7 linked regions of the Coturnix japonica genome follow. The protein of the gene in region 5 purifies or fractionates together with the protein of the main gene of each other region. This does not show direct contact. Links are inferred from orthologs where the notes say so. Each region holds a gene or a part of one and is shown on either strand. Other genes may lie near its edges. The genes, in order: RAD52, ATRIP, CDC45, ATR, RPA2, TOP3A and CDK7.

Region 1 (3,500 bases), on a different chromosome or scaffold from region 5:
TCAGCTCCCCCTTCCAGCCATGCTGCACCATCCTGCTGCTGCTGCTGCGTAACACAGAACCAACTTCCCCTCTCGAGCCCTGCATGGCTCAAGCTGCTTCAGGCACAGAGGGCGCTGCCACCGCTCTGCTGGTGGTGCCCAGCACCTGCCTGAGGCAGCAGGGGCTGCAAAGCTGAGCCCCTTCACCAGGAGAGGGAGAGATCCAACAGCTGCCCAGCAGAACTGTTGCCTCACCAGAGCAGGGCCTTTCAAGCTGGTACTGCCTAAACGCGGCTTGGAAGGTCTTCCTTTGAGTTTATTACTACGAGGAATAGCTGTTGCTTTGCTCTGAGCTTGTGGAAGTGAATAGGAAGAAGGTAGAAATAACAAGTGGTTTGCCTGTCCAAATTTAGTGTTTATTCTTGTGTTAAAAAGGAGTAAAAGCTTATTTAAAACACTACAGGTAAAAAAAGGGGCTCTCATTCATTTCATAAAGGGTCCAAACAAGTGCTTAGATGCTGTATGTACTCCTCGGTAGCAGTCCCTTTGTGTTCCCGCCCTGGTGCTGTGTGGGCTTGAGGGGTGAGCTGAGGCAGAGCTGTGTCAGGGCGATGCTCTGCCCCTCCTTGTGCAGCCTCTGGGCAGGCAGCTGGGCTGCATGTGAGAGGCAGAGGCTGCCACAGCTGCAAACAGCCTGAGGGAATGGGACACAGCAGTTGGTTGCTTTCCTGGGCCTGGAGCCCACCCTGTCCTCTTTTTATTGGGGAAAACTTTTCTGCATGCCAAAATGCGACGCTGAGCAGGAAAGCAGCTGTGGCATCTCGTTGGAAGGTTTACTTATGCTATAATTTTCAGGCAAATTCTTAGCAAAACAGCCACGGGTTGTGCAGGGGCACAAATGATTGTGTGTTTATAGAAAAAAAAAAGTCTGGACATTATAATAACCCCAAAGCACACACAGTTCTTGCTGGCTGTGCCTCTCTGGCTATTCTGTGTTGCTTCAGGACAATCTATTAATAGATGCAGCTTCCTCACGTACTTTGAGCAGCCAACTGCAGTCTTATGATGTAATCCAGCATGTAGGTAATGATGCCGCTGTGTGTCCTATGTAGGTTCCAGCCTCCGTTTCTTCCAGCTTTGACTTCTCCTGTGAGGGCTGCGCTCTGCTGCACAGGGAGACAGAGAGTGAGAAAGGGAAGTTCCTTAAAGCTTTTCTTTGGAAGAGTGGATAACAGCAAGACAAGAGGAAACAGTTTTAAGTTGAAGGAGGGAAGTTCTTTACTGTGAGAGTGTTGAAGTGCTGGAACAGCTGCCCAGAGAGCTTGTGGATGCCCCATCCCTGGAGGTGTTCAAGGCCAGGTTGGATGGGGCCCTGGGCAGCCTGGTCTAGTATTAAATGTGGAGGTTGGCAGCCCTGCCTGCAGCAGGGTGGGATGGAGATTCATGATCCTTGAGGTCCCTTCCAACCTGGGCCATTCTGTGATTTGCTTCTAAAAGTACTCATTGATTTATTTTTTAGCTCTTCCCTGAGAAGACAGTTGGATGGAAAGAGTTGTCCTGTCCCGCTATCACAGCACTCCACACAAAAAAAGGGATGTTTCTCCCCACTCCAGATTACTAATCTGACAGCAAAGCTTTCCAAGCCAAGAGCCGCTGTTGAGAAAGAACTCAGTCATTTATCACAGCGCATACCTGGTGTGTGTTGGTTGGCACCGTAGCTGTTGCTCGCGAGAGCAGCAGATGGCTGCAACTGTGCAAACCTGGCAGAAGGTTTGTGATGATGCGTTCTCTGAGGCGTCCTGTTACGAGTTGTCATCTGGTGACATCCGCGGGGCGTCTCAGGGGGCTGCTGTGCCGCTGCTGGGCCTGCTGCTTTGTGACACATCAACTTGTTAAGGTCGGTTGTCTCCAAGGAAATGTCCCAAAGTTCAAGATCATCTAGAACAGATGAAAAGATGATGGAACCAAGAGGAACTCCAGGACCAGCCCACACTTTTCCTACAGTGGTGGCCACTATAGGAGTTAAACTGTAAGGTATCTTTTATGTCAGTGCAAAAGCAGAAAATGAACTTCAGCAAGGTCCATGCGCTGCGCTGTGTGACCCAAATAGCTGGAGCTGTGTTAAGAAAAGGCACTTTCCCTCCCCACCCATGTTCTGTTTTTGTGAAGTGTCACCAGAAAAGAAGAAATTGCCAAATATGTCTACCGGTGCTCTACTGAACAGCATAGGGTAACACTTCACATACTGATGGACATCTCATCTATTGCATGTTCTAACATTGTTTTCCTGCCATTCAAGCAAGGTTAGTACTGCTAAGGTCAGACTCCCACTTGTACTCCAACCTCTTCACAACTTCTACCATTACACGTTGAAGAATTAATCTAAATACCAACGATTCAATATGCTGCTGTTCTTTACTCTTGGCTGACCTGCAAAGAACTCTTCTTCGATTGCCAGCTCCTGTTGTGCTGCTGCCGGAGTGCTGTGTTTTACGGGAGGATTGGCTGTTGCTGTACAGAGGTAACACAAGAAGAGATTAAAGTCTGAAATACAGAACTCTTCTGTTCCTGCTTAGCAGACAGACCATGAGTCTGAAGTGATTGCTCCCAGGTACCCCCTTTTCCCACAGCTGCTTAGATTTTGGAAGCAGTATATACAATAGTATGGATGCTGCTGATGACTAGTGAGAGCAACTGCAATACTATCAATGCTTTTACCCCATCCCCATGTTCCTGCTTACCACATATCTGTCCAGACTTCCCACAAGTGAAAAGTAACCTACCAGCAGCTCATGCAACGTCTGCTTGCCTGCAGCCACTTCAGTGAAGCACTGCAGCCTCAGCTCTGATGCAGCACAGTAATGGTACAGGTGACAGTGGCTGCACTGCACAAAGCTTTGGCATGGTTGGAAAGCTGCAGTTTTAGTGATGTGGTTTTAGAGCCGCTTTAAGAATGTAGGGACAGGAGTGTGAGGATCTTCCTTTCTTCCGTCTCAAAGGAGTTTAATAGCACAGTATAAAACAAAAGAAACTGATCAGGCTCCCATACTGAGAGTAACACTTGTCTGCCAGCAGCTACCATTAAAACTGTCAGCTTCTAATGGCCCATCTTACCCTGTTTGCTGCTGGGAGTAACTTCTGCAGCCTGACGTCTCTTCTCCATCTGTTCCCGGAACTGTTGCTGCAGCTGCTTTTGTCGCAGTTTCCGCTGGTACGTGGCATCAAATTCAACAGCTGGGGAATCGGTATTTCTGCCCCAACCCCGGGTAAAGACAAAACAGGAGTTCAGTAACTCTATTTTTTGACGAAACATTCATACTAATATATAATAACTGCAAGAAAAGTCCTCTAAACCAATACTGTATGGCATCTTTCAATTTGGACTGTTCACATGCTTCGAAGGGGACGGTAACTTCTAACTTCCTCAAGTACTGTGCTCAGTTTTGGGCACCTCAGCACAGAAAGGGCATGGAGGTGCTGGAGCAGGTTCAAAGAAGGGCAACAAAGCTTTTGAAGGGCTT
Region 2 (4,063 bases), on a different chromosome or scaffold from region 5:
AATGTAAGCAATGTCATACCGAAAGAACCACCCTTGTTCCTGCCCTGACCTTACTGGAACTGCTGGGTCACACTGGGCCAAAACCTGAATCTAAGGCAGAATGTTCACAAGCAGCTAAAAATACTGCAAGTTGTGTTCATGTTTACCTTCCTTGCTGGAAACTGTCTGTGCAAACCAGTTTCCTGAAGAAGAAGAAGAGGGTCTGGCAGCAGTTTCAGCATTGAAAGACTCTTTTGTAGGAAAAGACCTTTTTCCAGGCTGCGGAGGACACCCTTCTGATTTCATCTGGATTGCAACGTTCTTTTTAGGGCTACAAAAAATAAACGAAAACAACAAGATACCAACAAATTCCCCTCCAGCTCCAATGAACCAATGTCTGTTTTGGGAGCATTTTATTAAAGATCTATTTCTATTTTATTACAGATCTATTTAATAGCTTTCTTGGTACTGATGTTAAAGAGGTACTTCACTCTACATCCCCTGCATTTCTGTCCCAGCATCTGTTTAGGTCAAAAGAATGGTTTTGGTTGTATTTTCTCAAGGAAATGGACCTAAGAGTCACACAGAGACAGGAAACATCTGTCCTAATTCAAGTGTGAACAAAAAGAAACACAGGTTATTTCCCCAAACCCCCATACACACCTTTGTGGCACAACCGTCTGAGTGACGTGCTTATTTCTTTCACAGTTCTGAAGTCGCGTTCTTAATTCATTCATTTCTGCATCTTTGAACTGCAACTCTGACTGCAGTGACAGTAACTGGAAGAATTAAGGAGATGGTTTTACTGTTACAGAATAGGCAAGTGTTAATCCAACTGCAAAGCAAATGTCTGTAAGATCTCAAGGTTGCAGGCTTCTTTCTGTGTGTTGTGTTGAGGTGACTGACTGAGCTACAAACCTTTTTGGAGAACTCTCTTTCTTTTTCACCAAGGGCCTGAGATTGCTGCTGTTCCAACAGCACGTACGACCTCTTCTGCTCCTCCATCTCACGCTCCATCTGCTGCATCCAGTCACGCAGAACTTTGATTTCTCCATTTTTAGTAAGAATTTCATCCTGCATTTCTTTCAGCTGCAAAGAGATGAATTCCATTAAGCAGCACATTCAGCATTTAGTATCTGTATTGCTCTCTATGTGGTCAAAGATGGAGTGTGTTGCTACAGCTCAGTTTAGATATCCCACAGTCTGGCTTCTATTTCTTTTCCTTATTAAATCAGGCTCCGTGACATTCTCTAATAGAATTACAGTGTTTTGGTGTCTGACGGTGGGCTTTTCTGCACTGCTTCCATCCCTTTTTTGAGGGAGATGGTTTCCAGCTACAGGAGGGGGGATTTAGAATGGACATAAAGTTATTGCAGTGATGGTGGTTAGGCACTGGCACAGGTTACCCAGAGAGGTGGTGGTGCCTCATCCCTGCAGACACCCAGCGGGCTGTGAGCACCGATAGAGCTGTGATGTCCCTGCACACTGCAGAAGGTTGGAGGGCCTTAAAGTAAAGGCCTTAAAGGGCCTTTAAGGTGATGATGGTGTGGTCTAAGCGGTGCCTTTCCACAAGGCTCAGTGACCCCATCCCCTTAAATGCTCTTCTTTCAAACCATGAAGGACACAGCGCTGCTCCGGGTTTGACAGGACAGATGAAAGCCGACAGATGAGCACCCGCTGCTGGGCAATGGTGGCACCACACCCCGCAAACTCATTGTGCCGTTCCCACTCAGAGCCTTTCCCAGCGCGGATCCCGACCCTCCCGGCCCAGCACCGCGGCCGATCCCCCCTTATATTCCCATGTGCTCTGACCTTCCTCCGTGTATCGTCGTGCTGTGCCCGCAGCACCTGCAGCTGGAAGGGCGCTGTGAGCTGAGCGCTGTGCGGGGCCGGGCCCGGCGCGGTGACACCCGGACACAGCGGCTCACACAGCGCCTGGGAAGCGATGGTGTCGATCTCCTCCAGATCGTCCGCCGTGAAGTCGTCGTTGTCCCCGAAAGGATCTTCCTCCGCCCCGCTCCCCGGCGGCCCCTTGTGCCGTTTGCTGGGCGGGATCCCGTTCCGCAGCGCACTGTCCGCAGCGGGTCCCGCCGCCCGGCCCGGCCCGCACATGTCGGTACCGCTGCGCTTCCGCGGAACGAACGGCAGCTGCAACGACATGGCGGCAGCACCGCTACGCCGCGCGACGGACGGGAACCCGCGCGACGAACCGTGGCCAATCAGCGGCGAGAGCTCCTCCTGCCCGGCCAATGGCAGACCGCACCTAAGGCGGCCCCCGAGGGTCAAGCGCCGCCGCCATTGGTCGCCGCGTGACGCGCTGTGAGCAGCTCGCTGATTGGATGGGCAGGGCGGTGGGATGAGTGACGTCACACCGACGTAGTGACGCCACGCTGACGTAGTGACGTCACACCGCGCCATGCCGTGCGGCAATACTCGATATACGGAAATACTACGTCACTTGTTGCCGCTGCTCCGTGACGTTCCCCAGCTGTGAGCTCCCGTAACGCCGCACTAACATGGACGCACAGCCCTGACGGGGACAGCTCGGAGCCTGGATAGTGTTGGTGTGATTCCGGTTCCCAATAGCAGCAGCAGTCGGGCGGCCGCTCAAGGCCCCAAGCTGTCACCATGGTTACACACCCCGTCCCGTTACTCCGTGTCACCGCGCCGCTCAGCAGCAAAACAAACACGGCCCGTCTCCTGCGCCGCCCAATGGCCGCTCGCGGTGTCCCGTAAGCCCCGCCCCTCGCCCATCTCGACCAATGGGGATCCTGTTCTGCCGTCGCAGGGGGGCGCGGGGCGGGACGCGTCATTGTGACGTGTCGCTGCGCGACGCCGCCATTGGCCGGAGCGTTGTCCCGGGCGGAGCGGTGCGGTGCGGTAGCGGCGGGCCGGGCCGGAACGGCGACGAGCGGCAGCCGAGCGGCCATGAGAACCGAGATCTCGACGGCCGCGGCGTTCGTCACCCGGCTCCTGCGGGCCGCCGGCGGGATCGGTGACGAGCAGCTGCGGTGCTTCAGGGAGCGCCTGCAGGAGGCGCTGCGCGGTGAGCGGGGGGACACGGCCCGGCCCGAGCCCGCGGCGCACGGACGGGCTGTAACGCTGACACTAACGCCGCTCTTTGTTCCCTCCCGTAGAACACTACAGGCACCACTGGTTCCCCACGGCGCCCACCAAAGGCTCCGGGTATCGGTGCATTAGGATCAACCACCAGATGGACCCGCTGATCGGCAAAGCGGCGGCGACCATCGGACTGAGCCACGAGAGACTGTTCCAGCTCTTGCCCAACGAATTGACTCTTTGGGTCGACCCTTTCGAGGTGTCGTATCGGATAGGAGAGGACGGCTCCATCTGCGTCCTCTATGAGAATCCACAGCCCGGGGCCAAGGCGAGTAAACCCCTGGAGAGCAGGAACAGCTGTAAGAAGTGGAGAACTGGCCGGTCCAGCCCGTCCGAGAGTTACAACATGATGACTGTTTCTAGTTAGAAGCTGCTGTTTCTTGTACAGCTATTGTACGTATCCCAGTTGTGTGATAAACTCCATTGTAACCGAGGTCTCTCGATTGGTGTTTTTTTTAACGAGTAGTTAATGGTAGTTTCACCCTGTGGCATTCGGGTTGTATCGTACTGCCAATGCTGTGTGGCCAAGGGCTAAAGCGGGTCTTGGATCCGCGTGTTCCTCTGGACCATGTACTGTAAATGCACTGTACAGACGGCTGATTGTTTTACACATTTCTATTTTCGAGGCGATTCTGGTATTTGTAATAAAAAGCCACGTTGTAGCGACTCATGGTGGATTTGTAGTCCAGATGAACACTTTGTTTTTGAAATAAAACAACAAAACCAAACTCCATTTGCAAGCAATAACACAAAGGGGATTAACACAGAAGCCAGGAGCTGCACATCGATCTCCACTGACTTGTCTGCACAGACTTTTCTCAGGGTCATTCCAGTTTGGCTGCAGGGCACAAATCACTCAAGTATTTTTTACCTTTTTCAAGGCACGTGTTCATTTGGAGCCGCGTTTCATCACGCCCCAATGTTCTGACAGGGGTTGGGGGATTTGTCTATCTTCTTTCTAGTT
Region 3 (4,279 bases), on a different chromosome or scaffold from region 5:
CCAATATGTTATTGCTGTTAATTAATCTGCTCCAAGGACTTCTTATGTCTGGCTTATTTTCCTAACTTAGAAAATGAAGCACCAGAAACAAACCTCTTCAAAACGCCTGCGTTTATCTGACGGTTCTGAGCCATCGCTGTCATTCTCTGAGTCCTCTTCTTCGTCCTCTTCATCTCTGAAGATATCATCATAAGCAGGAACATCGAGATCGTCGTCTTGTTTAACTAACAGTTTAATCTAACGAGAATAAAGGCACATTTTTCAGCAAAGCATCCTTTCAAACAACAAATGTGAAAGCTTCAGATACTTCAAAAGAGAAACCCAAAACTCATTTTGGCTGTTATCCACCCCAGTGTTAAGAAGCAGTAGTTGTGTTTATATGAAGACCGCGCTTATTTATCCAGCCTAAGAGTAGAAACTGCATTCGTTTTCCACAATGAAATCATAGTTAGAGCACGGCATGAAAGAACTTGAGGCTGTTACACACCGTACTCCGCTTATCTTCTGATTTGTACCAGTGTGAGCTGCAGGAAGAGAACTCTCCAGACAGCCATCACAGCACTAACAGTGTATGTTTTAGGAGCTCAAAACAGCAGTTTTTTTGCTCTGCCAGTATTACTGGATATCTGCATCAGTAACGGTCATTTCCTGACTGCAAGCAGTTCTGCCAAACACAGAATAGCACTGAGGCACCCCCAGCCCACAGAACACACAGTCTGTTACAACACAAGCTGAAGGAAAAGCTCAGCTCACCTGTGTCTCATTGTAAACATTCACTACATTGATGGGTCTGTGGCTGTCGCACACAAAAAAATAAGTGTCTTCTTCAGGCTGCAAGATCTCCAGCAGGTCCACATTAGCACCACAGTTAATAAAAACAAAGTGTTTGAACTGCAAACAGAACCAAAACAAACATTTTTCATTTTAATTAGTGGGAAACATGGAAGACTACAAAGACCTCTACAAGAGCACAGAGCACTCACTGCTGCCAAAACCAACATGACCCTAAGAAGGAAAAAACGTGCAAGACAACAGACCATGTTTAAGTTCAGACATTGGACATCCAGTCCCACCACCTTCCACATCCCAAAATTGTGCGAGCTCAGGTTGAACTGATCAGAAATGAGCTGATATTAAAAAACATATATCACAAAAAATACCTCAACAAATTTGGAAGCAGAATATTAAAACTTAACCGCCGTGTTGAGGTAAGAAATAATATAATTACATGAAGAGCTGCCATTTTAAATTGGGGAAAGGACAGAAATAAATTTCTATACACAATGAGCTGCAGCTTCTCTTTTTACCTGATCTTTATGCTCAAGAAAGGCAGTTTCAAGTTCTTGCCATCCAGACACAGGGACTAGTGTATATTGCACGTGATCACATTGAAATAAAGCCTGAAATGAAGCAAACAGCTGTCAGCTACAGCGCCAAACAATCCCTTCTGCATCACTGCACTGCACTACAACTCCATTTCATACCCATCTTTATCTTGAAGATGGCCAAACTGACAAGCTGACAGCGGCTGTGGCAGCACGGCTTACAGCGTGTCCACACTGGGACTCACGGAGAAAACGTTTCACAGAATCAGTTTCAACTTTTCCCCTTTTCTGAGTTCAAACCCATTCAAAGAATCCCAGTGACTTTTTTTGAGTTGGCCCGCAGAGGTAACAAACACTTACCTGGAGTATTTTACAAGCACACAACGCATCAACGTCTGAGGCCACAAGAAGAAGAACCCTCTGCAGAAATAATAGAGTAACAGTATTGACATATTAACAAAGGGGACAGATCTAGTGAGCTAGTACACAAAATGAGTGACCGTGGGATGAGAAAGGGAGGAATTGAAGCAGAGATCACTATAAGCACGGAACAGGACTGGATCTAAACAGGCACTGCAGCAAAATAAACCATTTGGATCCCGGTAAGTGTGAACAACGAGCAGCCCCGCTTAAAGCGGTGAAATCACAGCCCAAAAGTGCCCGTGCAATCACAGCACCCGGCGTCCTGCGCTGCGGCACCGGGTCAGGGCCGGGCAGCTCCACAGCCGCTGTGTGCGCCTCAAACAGGCACAGCTCTAGTACAGCATCTGAACGGCCTCGAACTAAGAAAGCCTGGAGCAAAAACAGGACCGAGGCAGCGCCTGGTATAGACCATGTCCAGGTAGCTCAGCTTTTGTTTTAAGGTTCAAACACTTTCCATCGCACGGACTGTGGAAGTAACACGGGCAGAACGCAGCGCAGCGCCCCAGGGAAGGGAGGGGAAGGGAAGGGAAGCTTTCCCGCTTCAGGACGCGGATCGCCGAGGGGCAAAACCAGGCTAAGAGGAAAGCGGGACTGAGGGTAAACTAAAGAGAGTACGAGATCCAGCGTCTGGGCGTGCAACACTGCGGTGGTTAACAAGAGATTTTAAAAAGGTTAATCTTTTTTTTATTTTTTTTTTAAAGGCAAATCTAGAGCTGCCTCTGCTAAACAAAAGAGCAGCAGGAACGCGGCAGACCGGAGCACCACAAAGCACGGCCTGCAGAGCACACAACCCTCCCCGGCCTTACACACAGCGCGGCCCGTTCCCCCCACGGCCCCTCGGGAGCGGAGCAGCCGCCTCGGTCCCGGCGCTGACGGAGCCGGTCGCTCCCGGAGCCGGCCCGTCCCGGCCTTGCCGCACCTGGCTGACGATCACATCGTAGAACTGCTGGCGGCAGTCGGTGACGAACATGGCGGCAGCGCAGCGCTGAGGGAACGGCGCCGATGGCCGCGCCGCTCAAAGTGGGCGCCAAAGCAGCGCCGCTTCCCATTGGCCACTGGAAAAGCGGCCGTCGCTAATTCGCAGCGCGGATTGGGCGAGCCGCCATCGGGTGTTCGCCAATGAGATCTGTGCAAGGGAGACGCGACGGCGAGGCAGGCCAATGGCAGCGGGCCGGAAGTGCCGCGCCGGGCTCAGTTGCCGTTGCCGCCATCTTTGTCGAGGGCAGTTTGTTCGTTCTGCCCGCAGACGCGCCTTGTTCCGGCACGGGCCGGGGCGGCTCCGTTCGGTACCGGCGGGCTGAGCGCTCACAAACCGCCATAGCAACGGCTACAACGGCACGGCCTCACCGGCGGCATCCTGCCCTCATCCAACATGGCGGCCGGGGGGCGGAGCCGGGGGCGGATCAGCGGCGTCCGGCAGCGCAGCGGCCGCGTCCGGCGTCAGCACCGGGAGCGGCTGAGGGAGCTGAGGCGGGCGGCCAACATGGTGAGCGGCGGGAACGGGGCGGGAACGGGGCGGACAGGGCCGCGATAACACCGTGATAACACCGTAATAACGCCGTGATAACGCCGTAATTAATAAGGCCGTAATTAATAAGGCCGTAATGACGCCGCCCGGCTGTGTCGCTCAGTCAGGGCCGCACACGGGCCGTGCTGACGCGGCTGTTTGTCCCGCAGTTCTCGTTCAACATGTTCGACCATCCCATCCCCCGCGTGTTCCAGAACCGTTTCTCCACTCAGTACCGCTGTTTCTCCGTGTCCATGTTGGCCGGGCCCAATGACAGGTCAGATGTGGAGAAAGGAGGGAAGAGTATGTGTCTGTTTTCTTTGACTCGGGGCGGGTTGAGCTGAGCGGGGTGCGGAGCTGATGGGGCGGAACCGGGCGGGGAACGAGCGGGGCCGGGACGGGGGATGGGGCGGGACCGGCCGGGCCTTGGTGCTGGTTCGGGTTCGCCCCGACGGCCCGTTGAGCTGTGACTGATCCCCCGCGGTTTCCTACTGTGAAACGAATCTGTGCGAGTTCTTAGAACGAACGTGGTCGCGGTGCCGGCGGAATTGAGCTCCGTTCTGTCTGCACGGCCCTGACTGTCCTGATGTTACTCTCTGTTTCCTACCTGCAGTAATTATGCCGCCGTCTGCTTTGGATCAGCTCAGTAAGTGCATGTTTTCTTCTGGCGTAACAGCGTTAGGAAAGACTAAGAGCAGAAGTACAAACACGGCACCACACAGCACGGCACGTTGGGTGTCTGTTTGGGCCCGATCAAATAAAGGATATGAGATAAGGTCATTAGAAAGCGTAGCTGTGGGGTTTTGTGTCGGTGAGCAGTTGGGTTGGCAGCAGGACCAACAATAATAAATTCCTGTACTGAAATAATACCCAGTGCTGGCTCATCTCTGAGCTCAGGGTGATGTGATTGCTAATCCCCAGTCCCCGTGTAAATGGAGGCATTAAAGCCCCAAGTACAAAGGCAGTTCAGTGCTTCTGGATCTCCATTCCCTCCTGGGTTTGTAGTTTTGAGAAGCTGAAATAA
Region 4 (3,500 bases), on a different chromosome or scaffold from region 5:
AAGCAGAATTTCTGCCTTTAGGAAATGCTAACCGTGGCATGATTATGCCTGTAATAAAGTTTGACTTAAATTCCTAGTTTACATTCTAGCCTCCAATGACAATGGTACCATATAATGCAAGAACATATACAGGTCCTCTATGTCAGCATTAAGGCACCTAGGGAATAGAAGTGAAAATCAGTGCTGAGAAGGGAGAAGACTAATGACAAGATCAAATACTTTCCACTTTTTCCATAAAGTGTTGTTTTTTTTTAAACTTTAAATAATCTCTTTCCTACCCTAAGAGATTTCATCTTGTAAAATAAAGTAATATTTATCTTCAGTAACATTTTCAAAACACAGAACAAAAACTTGAATCAACGTCTTTATAAGTCACCAACTCTTATTTTTACCTGACAGATAGGTTTCTTGTACTGACTGAAAAAAGCTTGTAGTTTTATGGACTTAGCTGCTGCCAGGGACCGAATTTCTGTGTATGCTGCTCCAGCCACAGAGGCTGACTTGGACAACAAACAATGCAACAAGTGCAGGAGGGCAAATGGTATCAAATCTCCTTTTGATGCCCTTAAAAAGCAAGCAAATAAAAAGTAACTAGAACAAAAAAGTCATTGCACGAACAAAATGTCTTAACAATAGGTAATCACCATAATGCTAAACAACTCTTCATCGCATATCAATAGCTAGACTGTACCTGCCATAGTACCACTAAAACAGAATGCTGTAAATTTTATGTGCTTCAGAAGCTTACTACAGTTGCAAAGGACTTTGGACAAAGGCTGATCTCCAAGTAAGTGAACTTAACAAAAAGTTACCCATCTCACAAACTGAGAGTACTTAGCGTTTATCACTGTATTGTCAAAAATTACCTTCCAATATCTCCTGTTGTGAGAATCAAGGTATCTTTAAGCTCATTATTCCTTGATATTTTGGCATGTGTATATGCTTCTTTCATTCTTGAAACAAAGAGCTAAATCACATAAAAACAAAACACATTAGTAAACGAAGTAGAGAAAAACAACAAAAAGTAAATATGAATTCACCTCTTTTATGAATCCTTCTTCAGAATCTAAGGATTCTAATATGTTCTTTATGCAGTCACTGAAAGCCACTCGTACATCTTTGTCTGGATCTTCCATTAAATTTAATAAAGACCCGATGAGAACCTTCACACTTGACTCATCACTGTTAAAATCCAGATGTTTGCAAAGGTGAGGTATGTTTTCTATAAATGCTATGGAGGAAAGAAAAAGATACTTTTTAATTAGTTTATCTTTTAATTTATTTTTTTAAATAAAACAATGATAGAAATAAGCACTGAAGCACACACTTATTTCTGAAAAGAGTAAATATTGAGAAATTAAAAAAGTTATTCAAAATTTAGATTTTATCAAGTATTACTTTCCTGGGTGTTGCCACAAATTAAAATTAACCACAGCAGTTTAAAAGGATTATCATAACTTCTAAAATTGTCACTGATTTCAACTGAAATACAACATTTCAAGCAGCAGCTTAGCTACAAAAAAAGAAACCAATGACAAAACAAAACCACCTACCCAAAGCAATATATATTAAAAAAGGAATGTACAGAAACGTAGTAAAATAAAATCTTACCTAGTTTTACCAAACTGGATACTTTGTTCTCAAGAAGAATAAGAAATGGCTTAAAAACAGAGGCTTGCACAGAAGAAGTTTTTTCATGAGCAGAAGGCACAATAAGGCTGTTACACAAAATATCGCAGGTAACATGCTTTATAGCAGAGCCTGCTAAAGGAGGCTGTATACTGAATGTACCAGAAAGGCAGCAAGATAATTTCCCAATAGTAGCAGCACAAGCCTCCTTGACTAGATCAGACTCATCTTGAATTTGATTTCTGAAATTGACATAAAAACAAAAACATTTTAATAAATTAAGCAATCTATTAAACACTAAAATTTACATATCTACATTGTCTGGTTTCTCTAACTAAATTGTCCTGCTGTTTTCTCAATATTAGGATCTGCTTTACTAGATAATAGCTTTCCTTTTCAACTAAGGTCAAGCTTATCTGAAATGTCTGAAGCCATACTGGCCCATAATGTGCTTGGAACATTATAAATCAACTAAAGACCATAGACAGTAGAACAGAAGAGGGCAAAAAACAGATACAGAAGGAAGAAAAACTGGAAAGATTTTTAAAAGATATATGTACAAATACATATTTTACTGACAAAGACATTTCTCTTCATAAGTTTTTATTTATTGTTTAGAAATAAGGCCTTCAAGAAGCAAAGAAACTTGTATACTGATCTGGTATGTAAATGCTAGCCTATCTTCATGTATACACATTCTGTTGATATCTCTTATGAGTTCTAAAATCTAAGTCTACTAAATTCTGCATGAAATACAAACAAACATTTATTTCAATCTTTATAATTAATTCCTTATACATGCAGTTTTCTTCATGCATGAAAGATAAAAGATAATATTAACACATACAAAAGAGCCTTTGGAATCATACTGAAAGACTGCACACTTGGTGGATGAAGCAGGAAAGAGAATCCTTTAACACATGTAGCCCGAACTACTTCATAGGGACTTTGTAGTGCCCAATAGTAAATGGATTTTCTCCAATCCAGATGAATGTTTCTTGGGAAGAGAGATAGAAGGAACACACAGCGTGACTGAGTTTGAGGTGCTGAAGAAAAAAAACAAAAACATTACTTATTGTCCACTATGAATATTGATTCTGACAAGGCAAAGAAAGCAATTTCACCATAGCACAATCATTTCTGAGAGACTTACATAATTTAACATACTTACAAAAACTTTGTGCAGTTTTTCGACTCAAAACTAGAGGATCAGTTCCAAAAGCATATGTTTTAAAAGAAGAATCATCAGGATGGCTGCAAATCCAGGGTAGAGACAGCAATCCACATATATCATCAAGAATCTGATCATTCAGTGGAATTTTTACTAGTGAAAGGGTTTAAAGAAAAAAAAAAAAAGACATATTTCATGTAAGCTAACTAAGATGCTTCTTATGTTTTTTTCCCTATCAACAAATAATAGCATTGATACCCCCAAATGTTGACATTCTACATATCAAAAGATATCAAAATAATATAAAAGCCTCATGAAACAGCAGCAAGTAATACACGAGCAGGAGAATACACATAACCTTGGTATCTCTGGATTTGCATAAAGGCTTTCAGATGGACTTCAGAATGGCTAGTAAACTGAACTCACAATGCCACTTGAATCTCAGAAAACTGCCTCTTTTCCATACTCCTAGCTTCTCCAAAAAACACACAAGACAACTGACCACCCTACATGAATTCCTCATGTTTTTGTTACACTGCTAGCATGCCAAGTTTCAACTGAAGTAATCAGAAGCTTTGAAATTTTTGAGTGAAACAAAGATAGTTCAGCACTCCACTTCTGCGTGTTTAAGAAAATCAATTTTTGAATGAAGGTTACTTTGTTACACATATTCACTTTCTCCACGTAGTCTCTTGTTGAG
Region 5 (4,167 bases):
AAAGCAAACATCACCTTCCAAGTTGCAAAGCTCAGCAGGTTAATTCGAGACACCGAGAAGCACTTGGCTGGGAGCAAATCCAGGTGGAAAGAGCTTCAGTCAGCATCCGTAGACTTATAGTGATCATCATCCACAGTAGAGTAGATGTGTCCCTCGCTGCTAAGGAATTCAACTGCTTGCCTTGGAAGGAAAGAAGTCCATTAGTACCTGGCTCACATCAATGCCTTCCTCTCAACCATTTCCCACCTACGTGGGACCTGACGCCCCCAAAAACATCAGCTTCTACACACTTACTTGATTGTTGGTATGCTGACATTGTGGAGCTGAAGTTTCAGCTCTTGGAGACTCATCCCGTCTGGAGAATGGCAGTTTTTAATCAGGTTCAGCACCTGGAAGAACGTGAACCATCATCAGCACACAGCTCAGCTCTATCAGCACTGAACAGCGGGGCCAAAAAAGGATTATCAGCCTTCCAAGAATAACTGAGCTTTTATTTCTTGGTCCTACAACACAAAGCAGCAGCACCCACTGTGTCAGCTGTGCTCTGGAGAAGGTGCTGGCACCCACCTGACTCTGATGTGCTGTGAGTCCATTGACAGGCAGGCTGCCTCCACCATAGGCCCCCACGTCACTCATTCCAACAGAGGTAAACGACTGAGGTGCTCTTGATGCTGACTGCAATTACAAGAGTAATTGAATAAAAGAACTGTTGTGCACAGGCTGCTGCAAACCCAAGGCATGAAGGACATGAAGGACTTAGCCTTCTTTCAGAGGCATAATAATTAAAGATAGATTTCCAACAGAAACCAAGTAAAACTGGCCGCAATGAGAATGTCTCTCAATGGAAATCAAGACTCTCATCACACCCCATTGCAGCCCTTCAGCCTTTCCAGACCCACAACTTGCACAGTTTCCCACTGAACCCAGAGGTCCCTCCCTTTAGATCACCAGTAACAGCTGTAATGGAACCATGACCTTCAACTACACACCATAAGGTTCTTCCTGAGGATCATATGCGCATTAACAGTCTCAAGTATGTGCGTGGTGACCTCGTTCATGTTTTCCAGAGGCATGATCTTAAACGCCACCAAACTCTTCTTGTTCTTCCAGAGAAAAGACAGCAAATACCATTAACAGGGGAGCAACAGGAACATGGTTGCCATAGAACTTAAGCACTCTAGTTAGGAACAGGAGCAGCAGCGGGTGGGGAGTCCATCTGCCTTTAGTTAGCAAAGGTTTTCAACTTAAATGCCCATGTCTGGGCAAGTTTTGATCCAGCTGGCAATTGCTCTTTGCTTTAACACATACAGCATGATCTCAAGGATGACTGCTATGAGTTGACTCCTATATAACATGCTGTGATTATTGTTCCTGCTCTGCCACATCACCAACCCTTTATGCTGCTGCCCCAGCCTTGTTTGTTGTGGAGTCGCACATGACCTTACCTGAAAAGACCGAAGATGACCAGCAACTTTGACGTAAGTTCCTGGGGGCACCACGATATTCTCACTACCTGCCTCCTTACAGAGAAAGGAGAAAGCAAAGAGCTGCTGATCCATCTCTCAGTTATCATACTAAACAACTTTAGGACTGCTATCTCAATCAAACACAAACGACACCCATTCAATCAGTACAAGCAGTCAGGTAAATGTAGCTACAGATGGGAAATCCTTATTTGGATGCACTGTCGGCTTGACAGCAATCAGTGCCAGCTGTGCATTCTGGGAGCAGTCACAGGATCTTATGGCAAACCTGTAGATAAACCAACTGAGAATCTCTTTAATTACTTCCAGTTGTTCAGCTCAGTGCAGCTGTTCATCTCCAGCCACATTCACTGCCAACTGATCACTGTTACCGCAGCACCCAGCCTGGCTCTAACAGGGACATCCATTGATGCAGCTCACACACTGTTTTACCCCCATAGCAGCACCTCAGGACGGTTCCATTGCTTACATCGGTGTCAACCCACTGCCTCACGTCCATGGGTGCCGCTGTCATGTCATCCACCTTGTACAGGATGTTGGTGGGCGCCTTCTCTGCGTGTCGAACGATGCCCACCACGGTGACCTGCGGGGGGAGGGCGGTCAGGGGGCGGGGTGAGACACCAGCGGCCCATCAGAACCAGCTTAATGGGAGAGGGGTGTGGGGTTATAGGGGGTGTGGGACTATACGGGGGTGTGGGACTATAGGGGGTGCCCACCTGCGAGATCTCCACGTCATGGATACGGAACGCCTCGTCCACCTGCTCGGCTGCCAGCAGCTGCGACACGGTGCAGGGCACGATGCTCTGCGAGCGGCTGCGCTGTGGGGGGGGGTGAAGGGGGACGTGATGGGCCCCACAGCCCCACAGCCCGGGCCCCACAGCCCGGCCCCCACAGCCCCACAGCCCGGCCCCACAGCCCCACAACCCAGCCCCACAGCCCCATAGCCCAGCCCCATAGCCCAGCCCCATAACCAGCCCCATAGCCCAGCCCCATAGCCCAGCCCTACCTGCTTCTTCTCGGCCTGCCCGCCCGCTGGTGAACTGAATCCTCCCGGTGACTGCGTGTATCCCCCCGCGGGGCCGTAACCGCCATCGAAGTTACCTGTGAAGGGATGATCGGAGCCGTGAGCTGCGCAGACCCATCTCACACCCCACACCCCACATCCCCCCACACCCGCCCGTCCCGCACCGTGTCCGCCCCACATGGCGCCTCAGCACCGACTGCGGAGCCACCCGCTCCTCCAGCACCGCGTCCCGCGCCCCGCTACCAGGAGCCAATCACAGCCCTCCGTCTTCCGCCAGCTTCCGATAGCGAGATCCAATCACCTCTCTCTTTCTTCCAGCGCTAAGATCCAATCACATCCCTCCTTCTTCCGGCGGTGCTGATGCCGACGCCGCCATGTTGGTTGCTGGCGCTGCCCGGCTCTGTGCCCCGACGGGGCGGGCCGTGCAGGTGAAGGTTCAATGATGGAGGCGGTGACGGTGCGGGCGGCCGCGCTGCTGGTGCTGCTGCAGCCGGCGGTGATGGCGGGGACATTCTGGCACCTGACGGACCTACACTGGGATCCCGGTTACGAGGAGGCGCTGTCGGCCGGGCAGCGCTGCCCGTCGGGGGGATCCGGACCGGGGGGACCGTGGGGCAGCTACGAATGTGATGCGCCCTGGGCGCTGCTCAGCTCCGCTGTGAGCGCCATGAAACGGCTGCGGGCACGGCCGGACTTTGTGCTATGGACGGGGTGAGGAAACAGCACCGATTGTATTGAGTCCCTGCGGGCTGAGTCCCAAAGTGATGGCCCCTATCTATTGCTATGGGCTGTAGCTGTGTTAAATGCCCCCTATCCATTGCCGTGGGCTTTAGATGTATTAAATGCCTCCTGTCTGTTACATGGACTCAGCTTTAGCTGTGTTAAATGCCCCCTATCTATTACTATGGGCTGTAGCTGTGTTAAATGCCTTCTATCTATTGCTGTGGGCTTTAGCTGTGTTAAATGCCCCCTATCCATTGCCATAGGCTTTAGCTGCATTAAATGCCTCCTATCTATTACCATGGACTCAGCTTTAGCTGTATTAAATGCCCCCTATCTATTGCTATGGGCTGTAGCTGTGTCAAATGCCTCCTGTCTATTACCATAGACTCAGCTTTAGCTGTGTTAAATGCCCCCTATCTATTGCCGTGGGCTTTAGCTGTTAAATGCCTCCTGTCTATTGCCATGGGCTGTAGCCATGTTAAATCCTCACCTTACTTGGAGCATTCATTGGGTTCCTTTTCAATTCTGTTTCATTCTATTGAACGCAGGCAGCTTTTGCTTCCCTGCTGTTATCCAGTTCTGACCCCAGGTTGCATTATATTCTCTTGCGTGATGCCCCACTCAGCTGTAGCATCTATTAAACACGTTGGAATGGGATAAATGTGCTGAAATGGGATAAACCTGCTTCTAGTGCCCACATATAAAGTAGAACCAAACGGAGCAGCTTTCCACTTGGAGCCATTTCCTCCTGCTTCTCTGCTTCAGCCCATGTGCACAGTGCAAGTTCCTACCCCAAAGACCTTGACTTTATCTCCTATGAGATAAGGAAGAAAACAAGGCTCAGGTGCACGTTCAGTGCCTTGCTCTGCCCACGTGCCTTGATAGTCACAAGTAACGTCTATGTTCTATCTGCTGTTCCAGGGATGATACTCCTCA
Region 6 (3,500 bases), on a different chromosome or scaffold from region 5:
TGTGGTACAATCCAACCCAAGCAGTGCTTTTTAACAGAGAGTAAATAAATGATTCATTTCTTTTGAAAGCTGTCTAATCTCCCGAGAGTTACCATTGCAAAATGTTATTGCAACAATTCATTGCTATGGATACATGTTGCATTTCGTGTTCAGTTAGTGAGTCATTCTAAAACTAAATGTCAGACCAAGTGGCTTGAGTAGGTCTCATTCAGAGTTTTTTCTGTCTCAGAGAACCCTTGAACGAGAGGTCCAGCAATGCCAAGCTCTGGTCATCTGGACTGACTGCGATCGAGAAGGAGAGAACATCGGTTTTGAGATCATTCATGTCTGCAAAGCTGGTGTGTAGAGCATCTGTTGCATCAATCTGTTTTCCATTAAAATGATGATTTAACAGGTATCACTGCTCAGATCTAGTAACAGATATCATCCTTACTCAGTTGTCATTCTTACATGTCCAGGTCAAATCTTCTGGCTGTAGTTACGATAAATACATGGCTCTGATACACCAGAAATACATTAATACATTGGAAAGATACAAAATATGTTGACAGCACACACTTTTAAAGACAGCAGCAGTATATTAGTTCATGCTTTCCATTGCTGTATGAGTCATTCTGGTTATTATTTTTTTTGTCTGATAGTAAAGCCAAACCTCCAGGTATTCCGAGCACGTTTTTCAGAGATTACACTTCATGCTGTCAGAAGGGCCTGTGAGAATCTCACCCAACCAGATCAAAAAACTAGTGATGCTGTTGAAGTCAGGCAGGAGCTGGACCTCAGGATAGGTAAGTAAACATGCTTTGGAGATGAGAGCTGGTTGCTAGGCCTGAGCTGCTGCATATACCCTTGAAAGCAAGTGAGCAAGAGTGTGGTAAAAAGGCAGGGGACAGACAGCTTACAGTCTGTCATCAACATGTAGCTTATTTTCTATAAACACTTGAACTCTTAGATTGCTTTAGAAACTAGACAGCTAGCTATCAGACTTCCTCACTTCTCAGTGTATGGGAAATTGGTAATCACAGCCTGAACCTATGATTAATCAGCTGATGCTGATTAATTAATTAATTAATTAATGCTGAACTATTCAGTTCTAGCATCCATTTTGTTTTCTCAGGTGCTGCTTTCACCAGATTCCAGACCCTGAGGCTCCGGAAGATTTTCCCTGAGGTTTTAGCAGATCAGCTGATCAGTTACGGCAGTTGCCAGTTCCCAACTCTGGGGTTCGTAGTTGAGCGCTTTAAAGCCATCCAGGCCTTTGTCCCTGAAGCCTTCTATAAAATCAAAGGTATGCTGGAGGAAAACAAGCGCAGTAATCCATTTTAAAGGGTTTAATGTATTTGGAGAGGAAAAACTTCAGGGCAACTAACAAACAATGCTGCAGAAGTGATTTCCCTTGCCATTATCATTAAGCAGAAAGTGGAAAGGTTTCCTAGTAGCATGGTCCCATTGCCTCTGCTGGTTTTCAACTATATTACTACTGTATAACTCTGATCTGGTTTTCAACACAGTGACACATGATCACGAAGATGGCAATGTGGTCTTCAACTGGAAGAGGAACCGGCTCTTTAATCACACAGCGTGCCTGGTTCTTTACCACATGTGTATGGAGGTAGGAAAACTTGTAAAAAAAGACGTATGATCTAATATCAGCCAAACATGTCCTGCATCCTTCTTGTTCAAGATGTTTAAAGAACTGTCTGTGTGAAATCTTCGAGGAAATCTTGTATTTTGATTACTCTCTATTTAGGATCCTGTTGCCACTGTTGTTGAGGTTGGAAGCAAGCCAAAGAGCAAATGGAGACCCCTGCCCCTGGACACTGTGGTATGTTAGAACTATATATTATAAGATTAATTAAAATAAGCTTTAAACAGTTATTTTACTCAGAATAGTTCACAAATACATTTTTTTCTGTCTCTTCCCAACACAGGAACTTGAAAAGTTGGCTTCCCGTAAACTGAAAATAAATGCAAAGGAAACCATGAGAATAGCAGAAAAACTCTATACTCAAGGGTAAGGAAACAAGCTTTGTCTTGGTAAACTTAATTATTTCAAAAATATGTGACTGTTAGTCCAAATCATCCTCAAGCACCTCTTGAAGTTCCCTTCTGTCTTTCTTAAGGTTTATTAGCTATCCCCGAACAGAGACCAACATTTTCCCCAAGGAGCTGAACCTCTCTGCCTTAATACAACAACAAACACAGGACCCCAACTGGGGAGCATTTGCACAGAGGATCTTGGATCAGGGTGGGCCGAACCCTCGGAATGGAACCAAATCAGACCAGGCTCACCCTCCCATTCACCCCACAAAATACACCGCTAACCTGCAGGTAAGTTTAGTATTGCTTGATAAAATAAAGACAGAAATACTATAATATAGTTGTTAGCACAGTATCCGCACCTGAGATTCACTAATATTTCTTAATATCTTGCTAATACTAGAAGAGAGTAACTCTTACTGTTTGATAACAGGGCAACGAACAGAGACTATATGAATTCATTGTGCGCCATTTTTTGGCTTGCTGCTCTCAAGATGCCAAGGGACAGGAAACAACTGTGGAGATTGACATTGCTAACGAGCGATTCATTGCTCAAGGACTTATGATCCTGGCCCGAAATTATCTGGAGGTTTATCCTTATGAGAAGTGGAGTGACAAGGTAACATCCTTGAACAGTGTAGATGGGACTGCCTAAAATACCTGGACTTTAAAACTGCAGATGGGTTGTACTAATGGGAAAGCTTCCCTGCCACTTTCAGGCCCATCTAGAGAATGTCCTTTGACAATTCTTAACACACTGGCTATTTCACTTAGAACTCTCTCTGCTGAACACTAGTGCCACTTAATTATGCCAGCTTTGGATAGATTCTTCCCTTTCTGACACCGCAGCAGAGACCATACAGGGCTGCTTCCACGTGGGGAGGGATACTCACCAAGATGAGCTGCAGTTGCTGTTGTGTGGTGTCTCTGGCAGGTTTTTACTGGCTAATCCTGAGCATCCCAAGACTCAGTCTCCTCCAGAACAGAGTGCTGCTATATTACTGCACCAACTTGCTGGTAGTGTGACAGCTGTTTTCAGTGGATGGTCCAGAAGACAGTTTCAAAGAGATTCTCCTTCCCTTCAGGTTATCCCACTGTATCAGAAAGGGTCTCGCTTTCAGCCCACTACAGTGGAGATGGTGGATGGGGAAACCAGCCCTCCATTGCTCCTCACGGAAGCGGATCTCATTGCACTCATGGAGAAACATGGCATTGGTCAGTATTGGCAGTGTGGCCTTTCACTCTTGAGAGAGCTTTGCTCATAAGCATCTCCTCAACTTCCCTAGTACTAGTTCTTTCCAGCCCACAGAGTAGGGGATTCTCAGAACATCACTTCAGATGAGAAGTCACTTAAATATACAGAGCAGAGAGATAGTAGAAACCTGTGGGCAGCATCCAGTGAAACTAACAAGACTGTACTGTCTCTCCATTACCCAAGGGGATGTGAAGTTTAGGGTCCAGGG
Region 7 (4,073 bases), on a different chromosome or scaffold from region 5:
AAAATCAAATACTAAGCTAATATTAGATTTGTGTCCAAATGCATCTAACAGCTGTAAAACAAAATGTGCTATGATGAATGACACTCTCATAATTCCCGTTTCCTAAAATTCCATTCTACTTTAGTTTGCATGTGCATTTTCAATTTACTGGCAGAGACAAACAGGCACAGGGCTACTCACTGCCTAGACCTCATCATCAAGAGGAACCCTAATCCACCTGCTCACACCTCACACAGGTGGAATCCCTGCCACCCTCCCCAGGCAGCAGCAGGCTCAGGCACTCCCTGCAGCCAGAGAACAGCTACATTTCTGGGCAGGCCCTCTGTCTGGGTTGCCAAAATCTTTCTGGAATAAACCTGCTTTCTGATAGAGAACATGTTTAGGCCTGCAGTCCCAGAGACTTTCCAAGAGGAAAGCTAGTCTCCTGAGCACAGACTGACAACATTTACATTCATCACCACTTGATCCACATCCACAGCACTGTATGGGCAGTGTGGGCTGTGCTCACTCACTGAACCTCCCCATTCTCAGTGGGCAGCAACAATGGTTACTCACCTGGTAGCTCACCCTAGGATACTTTAAGCTTGTTATCAGGTGCAAACAATAAGGACTAGAGTTTAAACTGTGCCGCTAATGTGCCAGCTCCACCCTTGCTGACTCAGGAGCCAACCCACAAGCTGGCAGCTCCCCAGTACAAGCGCAGCCTTTTTTACTTCAGATCCCTTGTTCCAGATCCCTTTCCCAGTGCAGTTTTACCTTCTCTGAAGCCAGTCTCTGCAGCAAAAATTCACTGTACTTACACCAATAACATTCGGGTGGCTTAGTTCCTGTAACAATTTTATTTCTCTCAGCGCTGTTCTGTTGATTCCTATATTGAAAAAAATAATTAAACAGAATATAATTAATAATTTCAAGTTAAACTCCAGCAAAGAAACCTCTTATTCTGTTGTTCATTGATTACTTAATATTACAGTCCTTTTCCTCAGCACTCATGTATTTGTTAAAGCCAAGCAGACTGTCACAAATACATAGACTGCTGCAGGCAAGGTATGAATAACAACTAGAAGATATAGATTATGAAGGAAAATACACATCCCTTTGGCTTACTGGCAAGCAAACACTACTGCATTATGTTGTGCAAGATGTTTTGCCTACGCATGAGCTGAAAAACAGTGTTATTTCCATGGTGGTTTCATTCAACATATAAGATTCCAGCGAAGATTTAGATGCAAAGATCTTGATGGCTTAGTTGATACTCTGCCTATTTTAATTCCTTCTTTAGAAAAAAAAAAGAGACAACGTCCGCTTTCATGTGGACATATTTTTTATATTCAGAAAAAAAAGTATGCAAGCCAATATCATTATTCCATGCTATACTTGTGATTGGGTTCCACCTAAACAGTCATATACGCACAGTTAAACATACAGTATGAGAATGCTGTATTTCGGATGTTATTTTTTCTGTCCCTCTAGGTTGGGAAGGAATCAATCACCCAATCAGCAGAAGCAAAACAAACAAAGACAGCTTATACAGCATGAACTTGTTTTAACACTTACCATCTTTAGCTTCTGATCGATGTCCCAGTTTAATCTGAAAATAAGTGCCTCATATTATATAAGGTCAAGTCACAATCCCCAACAGTTTAGTTGTTTAATTAAAAAAAAAAAGATTAAAATAAGTTCATTAAAATACATTAACAATTCTGAATATCTTACAAGGGCTGCTCTGCAAGTAATGCCTCCTATGTTAGTGGTCTATGATGTCAGAGGCGGATGCTAGCATGGCAGTAAGAGGCTGAACCTTCCCATTACATGGTGTTGTTATCTGACAAAAGGGCAGCGGGGGGTACTCTGACAAAACGACATCTGACATGGATGCACAGAGGAAGCAAAAGTGTGTTGCTGAATTTCTCCATGCAGAAAAATGGCACCTAATAACATTCATAGAAGCTTGCTGAACATTTATGGAGATCAAACAGTAAGTGTGAGCAAAGTGAGGGAGCAGGTGATGAATTTCAGCTCAGGTGACAGCAACAGCAAGTCATCCCCACTCATACAGATTTATGGCAACACAGCACGCAGGCTTTAGCTCATTGCTAGTGAAAATGTCTAATTAACGGTGGTGTCTATGCTGAAAAATAGTTCTTGGTAACTTAGAGTGTGCTCTATCTGCTATAGTTTCCACAGAAGTAAAATGGAGGCACTGTTTTCAGTCCAGCACAATTCCACCTCTCCCAGCGTAGCACAGGACATTAAGGCTGGATACCCATGGACTACATGATCTTCTTTTCCAATGTACCAATCCTGTGAATTCTCACACACTACACACGACAGCAGTTCAACAGAAGCACCGTGCAGGACAAGGCTCCCAGTGACACCACAGCGGGGTGTTCCAACACTCACCTTTTTGATAGCAACGATCTGACCCGTGTTCTTGTCCTTTGCCTTATACACAGTAGCAAACTAAAGGGAGAGAGAGAAAGAGACGCGTGACCACGGCGGCAGGGCAGCCCACAGCCCAGAGCCAGAGTCACTACGGTGGGTGAGCGGGAGGGCGATCGGCCCGGCCAGCCACGCTCCCTCCCGCACCCAGCCGCCCCTCAGAGGGCCCCGGCGGCCACACCGCACCCACCGGCCGCTCACCTGTCCCTCCCCTAAGAAGTCTAGTTTCTCATAGCGCTTAGCACGAGCCCGCGCATCCATGGCTGCCAGCTGGGAAAAGCAGCACAGCCCTAAGGCCGGAGAACGAGGCACAACGGAAGAGCAGCACGGCCCTTTATCGGCGCCCGCCTCCAGACCCGCCTACCTGCACCATGAGCGCGCAGCCTGATGCCGTCAGCTCGGAGGCGGGTACTAGGAGGGCTGCGGCCCGGCACACGCTGTGCGATGCTGCTCGTGCCCTGATGGCTGTGTGTGATTAGCTCCGGAGCGGGCAGCTGCCCCACAGAGCTCATTAAGGAGGTTAAACCATGTCCTGGCTGAGTCTGTGATCATGAGGAACGGGGGCCTGACAAAAAGCAGAGTGGGGATCCTGAACTTCAGGAGAATTAACTTATTTAAAAGCAGCTTATTATAAACAGGACATCGTAGGACTTTTTATATAGTCTGATGATGACAGGACACAGAGAAATGGTTCTAAACTAAAAGAGGCGATATTCAGATCAGATGGTAGGGGAAAACTATCAACTCGTGTTGGGGGTTGGAAGGAGTCAAAGAACTGGAAGAGTTTGTCTGAAGAAGGTGTAAATGCCCCCATCCCTGGATGTATTCAAGGCCAGACTAGCTGGAGCCATGGGCAGCCTAATCTAATGGGTGTCAGCCCTGCCCTCAGCATGGGGCTGGAAATAGATGGTTTTTAAGGTTCCATCCAAATCAAGCCATTCTGGAGTCTCTGAGTGTGTCTATCTTGCCCATGAAATCAGCCATGAAAAGACCTGTTAACAAGGAAAATAAAGCAACTCAATTTGTTCTACTGCCAAATTCATAGAATGGCTAGTTAGAAAAATACTCTAATGATGTAGCCATCATTTGCTATTAGTCATCAACAGAAAATCTCTCATCACCAATTAATAGTGCTGTGTCAACCTTTACACCTTCACATAGGGTTTTTATTAAAGCTATCAGTATACCATTATTTATAATATTAAGGAAAAGCTTTTATGATGAACACAATACTTCTTTCTTCAACAGTGGTGATATCTGTTGGTGGCAAATATCTTCCGTACTTATTCTGGACCTCCACGCTGTAAAGCAAAAAATAGACAGAGTTAACTATTTTCCTCTAAAAGAAAGGGAAATTGATATCCAGTCTTCTTTTGCAGTTATAGATTAATAAACAAGTCCTAGATTTAACTTCATTTTTACGCTTTGATTTTTAATCTGTAATGGAACATGCTACATGTCAGAAAAATCATTGCCTGTCATTAATAGCTTATTGTGCCTGATGGAATAATATAAACAATATAAAAACCTCTGCAACCTATATTTGCAGCTGCTCCCTATCCTCTCAGTTGGAAGAAACATGACACTTAGTGACTCTGGAAAGATGAGACAAACAGCCGTAGTAGTAGCTT

What was found.
Region 1: the proteins of RPA2 (region 5) and RAD52 purify together in Homo sapiens (affinity purification with western blotting; 3 studies listed by BioGRID and IntAct, with this or other methods). This does not show direct contact. The link is inferred for Coturnix japonica from reciprocal best matches to the Homo sapiens genes RPA2 and RAD52.
Region 2: the proteins of RPA2 (region 5) and ATRIP purify together in Homo sapiens (affinity purification with western blotting; 5 studies listed by BioGRID, with this or other methods). This does not show direct contact. The link is inferred for Coturnix japonica from reciprocal best matches to the Homo sapiens genes RPA2 and ATRIP.
Region 3: the proteins of RPA2 (region 5) and CDC45 purify together in Homo sapiens (affinity purification with western blotting; 3 studies listed by BioGRID and IntAct, with this or other methods). This does not show direct contact. The link is inferred for Coturnix japonica from reciprocal best matches to the Homo sapiens genes RPA2 and CDC45.
Region 4: the proteins of RPA2 (region 5) and ATR purify together in Homo sapiens (affinity purification with western blotting; 3 studies listed by BioGRID, with this or other methods). This does not show direct contact. The link is inferred for Coturnix japonica from reciprocal best matches to the Homo sapiens genes RPA2 and ATR.
Region 6: the proteins of RPA2 (region 5) and TOP3A purify together in Homo sapiens (affinity purification with mass spectrometry; 4 studies listed by BioGRID and IntAct, with this or other methods). This does not show direct contact. The link is inferred for Coturnix japonica from reciprocal best matches to the Homo sapiens genes RPA2 and TOP3A.
Region 7: the proteins of RPA2 (region 5) and CDK7 purify together in Homo sapiens (affinity purification with mass spectrometry; 3 studies listed by BioGRID and IntAct, with this or other methods). This does not show direct contact. The link is inferred for Coturnix japonica from reciprocal best matches to the Homo sapiens genes RPA2 and CDK7.

The regions. Positions count from the first base shown.
Region 1 is NC_029516.1:52,087,154-52,090,653, reverse strand, and holds part of RAD52 (DNA repair protein RAD52 homolog), read right to left. Parts: intron 3,231-3,500; coding exon 3,094-3,230; intron 2,491-3,093; coding exon 2,410-2,490; intron 1,918-2,409; coding exon 1,672-1,917; intron 1,146-1,671; coding exon 1,084-1,145; 3' UTR 1-1,083. UniProt on the Homo sapiens protein: Involved in double-stranded break repair. Plays a central role in genetic recombination and DNA repair by promoting the annealing of complementary single-stranded DNA and by stimulation of the RAD51 recombinase.
Region 2 is NC_029527.1:2,068,318-2,072,380, forward strand, and holds the start of ATRIP (ATR-interacting protein), read right to left. Parts: upstream 2,801-4,063; 5' UTR 2,398-2,800; coding exon 1,792-2,397; intron 1,069-1,791; coding exon 898-1,068; intron 759-897; coding exon 643-758; intron 311-642; coding exon 147-310; intron 1-146. Other genes in the region: protein BTG1-like, read left to right, coding at 2,908-3,025, 3,117-3,466. UniProt on the Homo sapiens protein: Required for checkpoint signaling after DNA damage. Required for ATR expression, possibly by stabilizing the protein.
Region 3 is NC_029530.1:517,913-522,191, reverse strand, and holds the start of CDC45 (cell division control protein 45 homolog), read right to left. Parts: upstream 2,801-4,279; 5' UTR 2,719-2,800; coding exon 2,668-2,718; intron 1,746-2,667; coding exon 1,686-1,745; intron 1,401-1,685; coding exon 1,308-1,400; intron 892-1,307; coding exon 754-891; intron 238-753; coding exon 94-237; intron 1-93. Other genes in the region: UFD1 (ubiquitin recognition factor in ER-associated degradation protein 1), read left to right, coding at 3,121-3,234, 3,426-3,558, 3,869-3,901. UniProt on the Homo sapiens protein: Required for initiation of chromosomal DNA replication. Core component of CDC45-MCM-GINS (CMG) helicase, the molecular machine that unwinds template DNA during replication, and around which the replisome is built.
Region 4 is NC_029524.1:8,876,009-8,879,508, forward strand, and holds part of ATR (serine/threonine-protein kinase ATR), read right to left. Parts: intron 2,954-3,500; coding exon 2,801-2,953; intron 2,676-2,800; coding exon 2,477-2,675; intron 1,872-2,476; coding exon 1,612-1,871; intron 1,232-1,611; coding exon 1,041-1,231; intron 968-1,040; coding exon 867-967; intron 565-866; coding exon 393-564; intron 1-392. UniProt on the Homo sapiens protein: Serine/threonine protein kinase which activates checkpoint signaling upon genotoxic stresses such as ionizing radiation (IR), ultraviolet light (UV), or DNA replication stalling, thereby acting as a DNA damage sensor.
Region 5 is NC_029538.1:1,359,341-1,363,507, forward strand, and holds the start of RPA2 (replication protein A 32 kDa subunit), read right to left. Parts: upstream 2,801-4,167; 5' UTR 2,689-2,800; coding exon 2,673-2,688; intron 2,586-2,672; coding exon 2,491-2,585; intron 2,303-2,490; coding exon 2,201-2,302; intron 2,068-2,200; coding exon 1,954-2,067; intron 1,521-1,953; coding exon 1,446-1,520; intron 1,104-1,445; coding exon 990-1,103; intron 676-989; coding exon 568-675; intron 390-567; coding exon 295-389; intron 181-294; coding exon 96-180; 3' UTR 1-95. Other genes in the region: SMPDL3B (acid sphingomyelinase-like phosphodiesterase 3b), read left to right, coding at 2,948-3,219, 4,153-4,167. UniProt on the Homo sapiens protein: As part of the heterotrimeric replication protein A complex (RPA/RP-A), binds and stabilizes single-stranded DNA intermediates that form during DNA replication or upon DNA stress.
Region 6 is NC_029529.1:5,110,334-5,113,833, reverse strand, and holds part of TOP3A (DNA topoisomerase 3-alpha), read left to right. Parts: intron 1-229; coding exon 230-338; intron 339-641; coding exon 642-785; intron 786-1,114; coding exon 1,115-1,285; intron 1,286-1,508; coding exon 1,509-1,609; intron 1,610-1,747; coding exon 1,748-1,822; intron 1,823-1,928; coding exon 1,929-2,011; intron 2,012-2,120; coding exon 2,121-2,328; intron 2,329-2,470; coding exon 2,471-2,656; intron 2,657-3,122; coding exon 3,123-3,252; intron 3,253-3,500. UniProt on the Homo sapiens protein: Releases the supercoiling and torsional tension of DNA introduced during the DNA replication and transcription by transiently cleaving and rejoining one strand of the DNA duplex.
Region 7 is NC_029547.1:13,177,188-13,181,260, forward strand, and holds the start of CDK7 (cyclin-dependent kinase 7), read right to left. Parts: upstream 2,801-4,073; 5' UTR 2,704-2,800; coding exon 2,644-2,703; intron 2,464-2,643; coding exon 2,404-2,463; intron 1,592-2,403; coding exon 1,558-1,591; intron 869-1,557; coding exon 801-868; intron 52-800; coding exon 1-51. Other genes in the region: MRPS36 (28S ribosomal protein S36, mitochondrial), read right to left, coding at 3,726-3,743. UniProt on the Homo sapiens protein: Serine/threonine kinase involved in cell cycle control and in RNA polymerase II-mediated RNA transcription. Cyclin-dependent kinases (CDKs) are activated by the binding to a cyclin and mediate the progression through the cell cycle.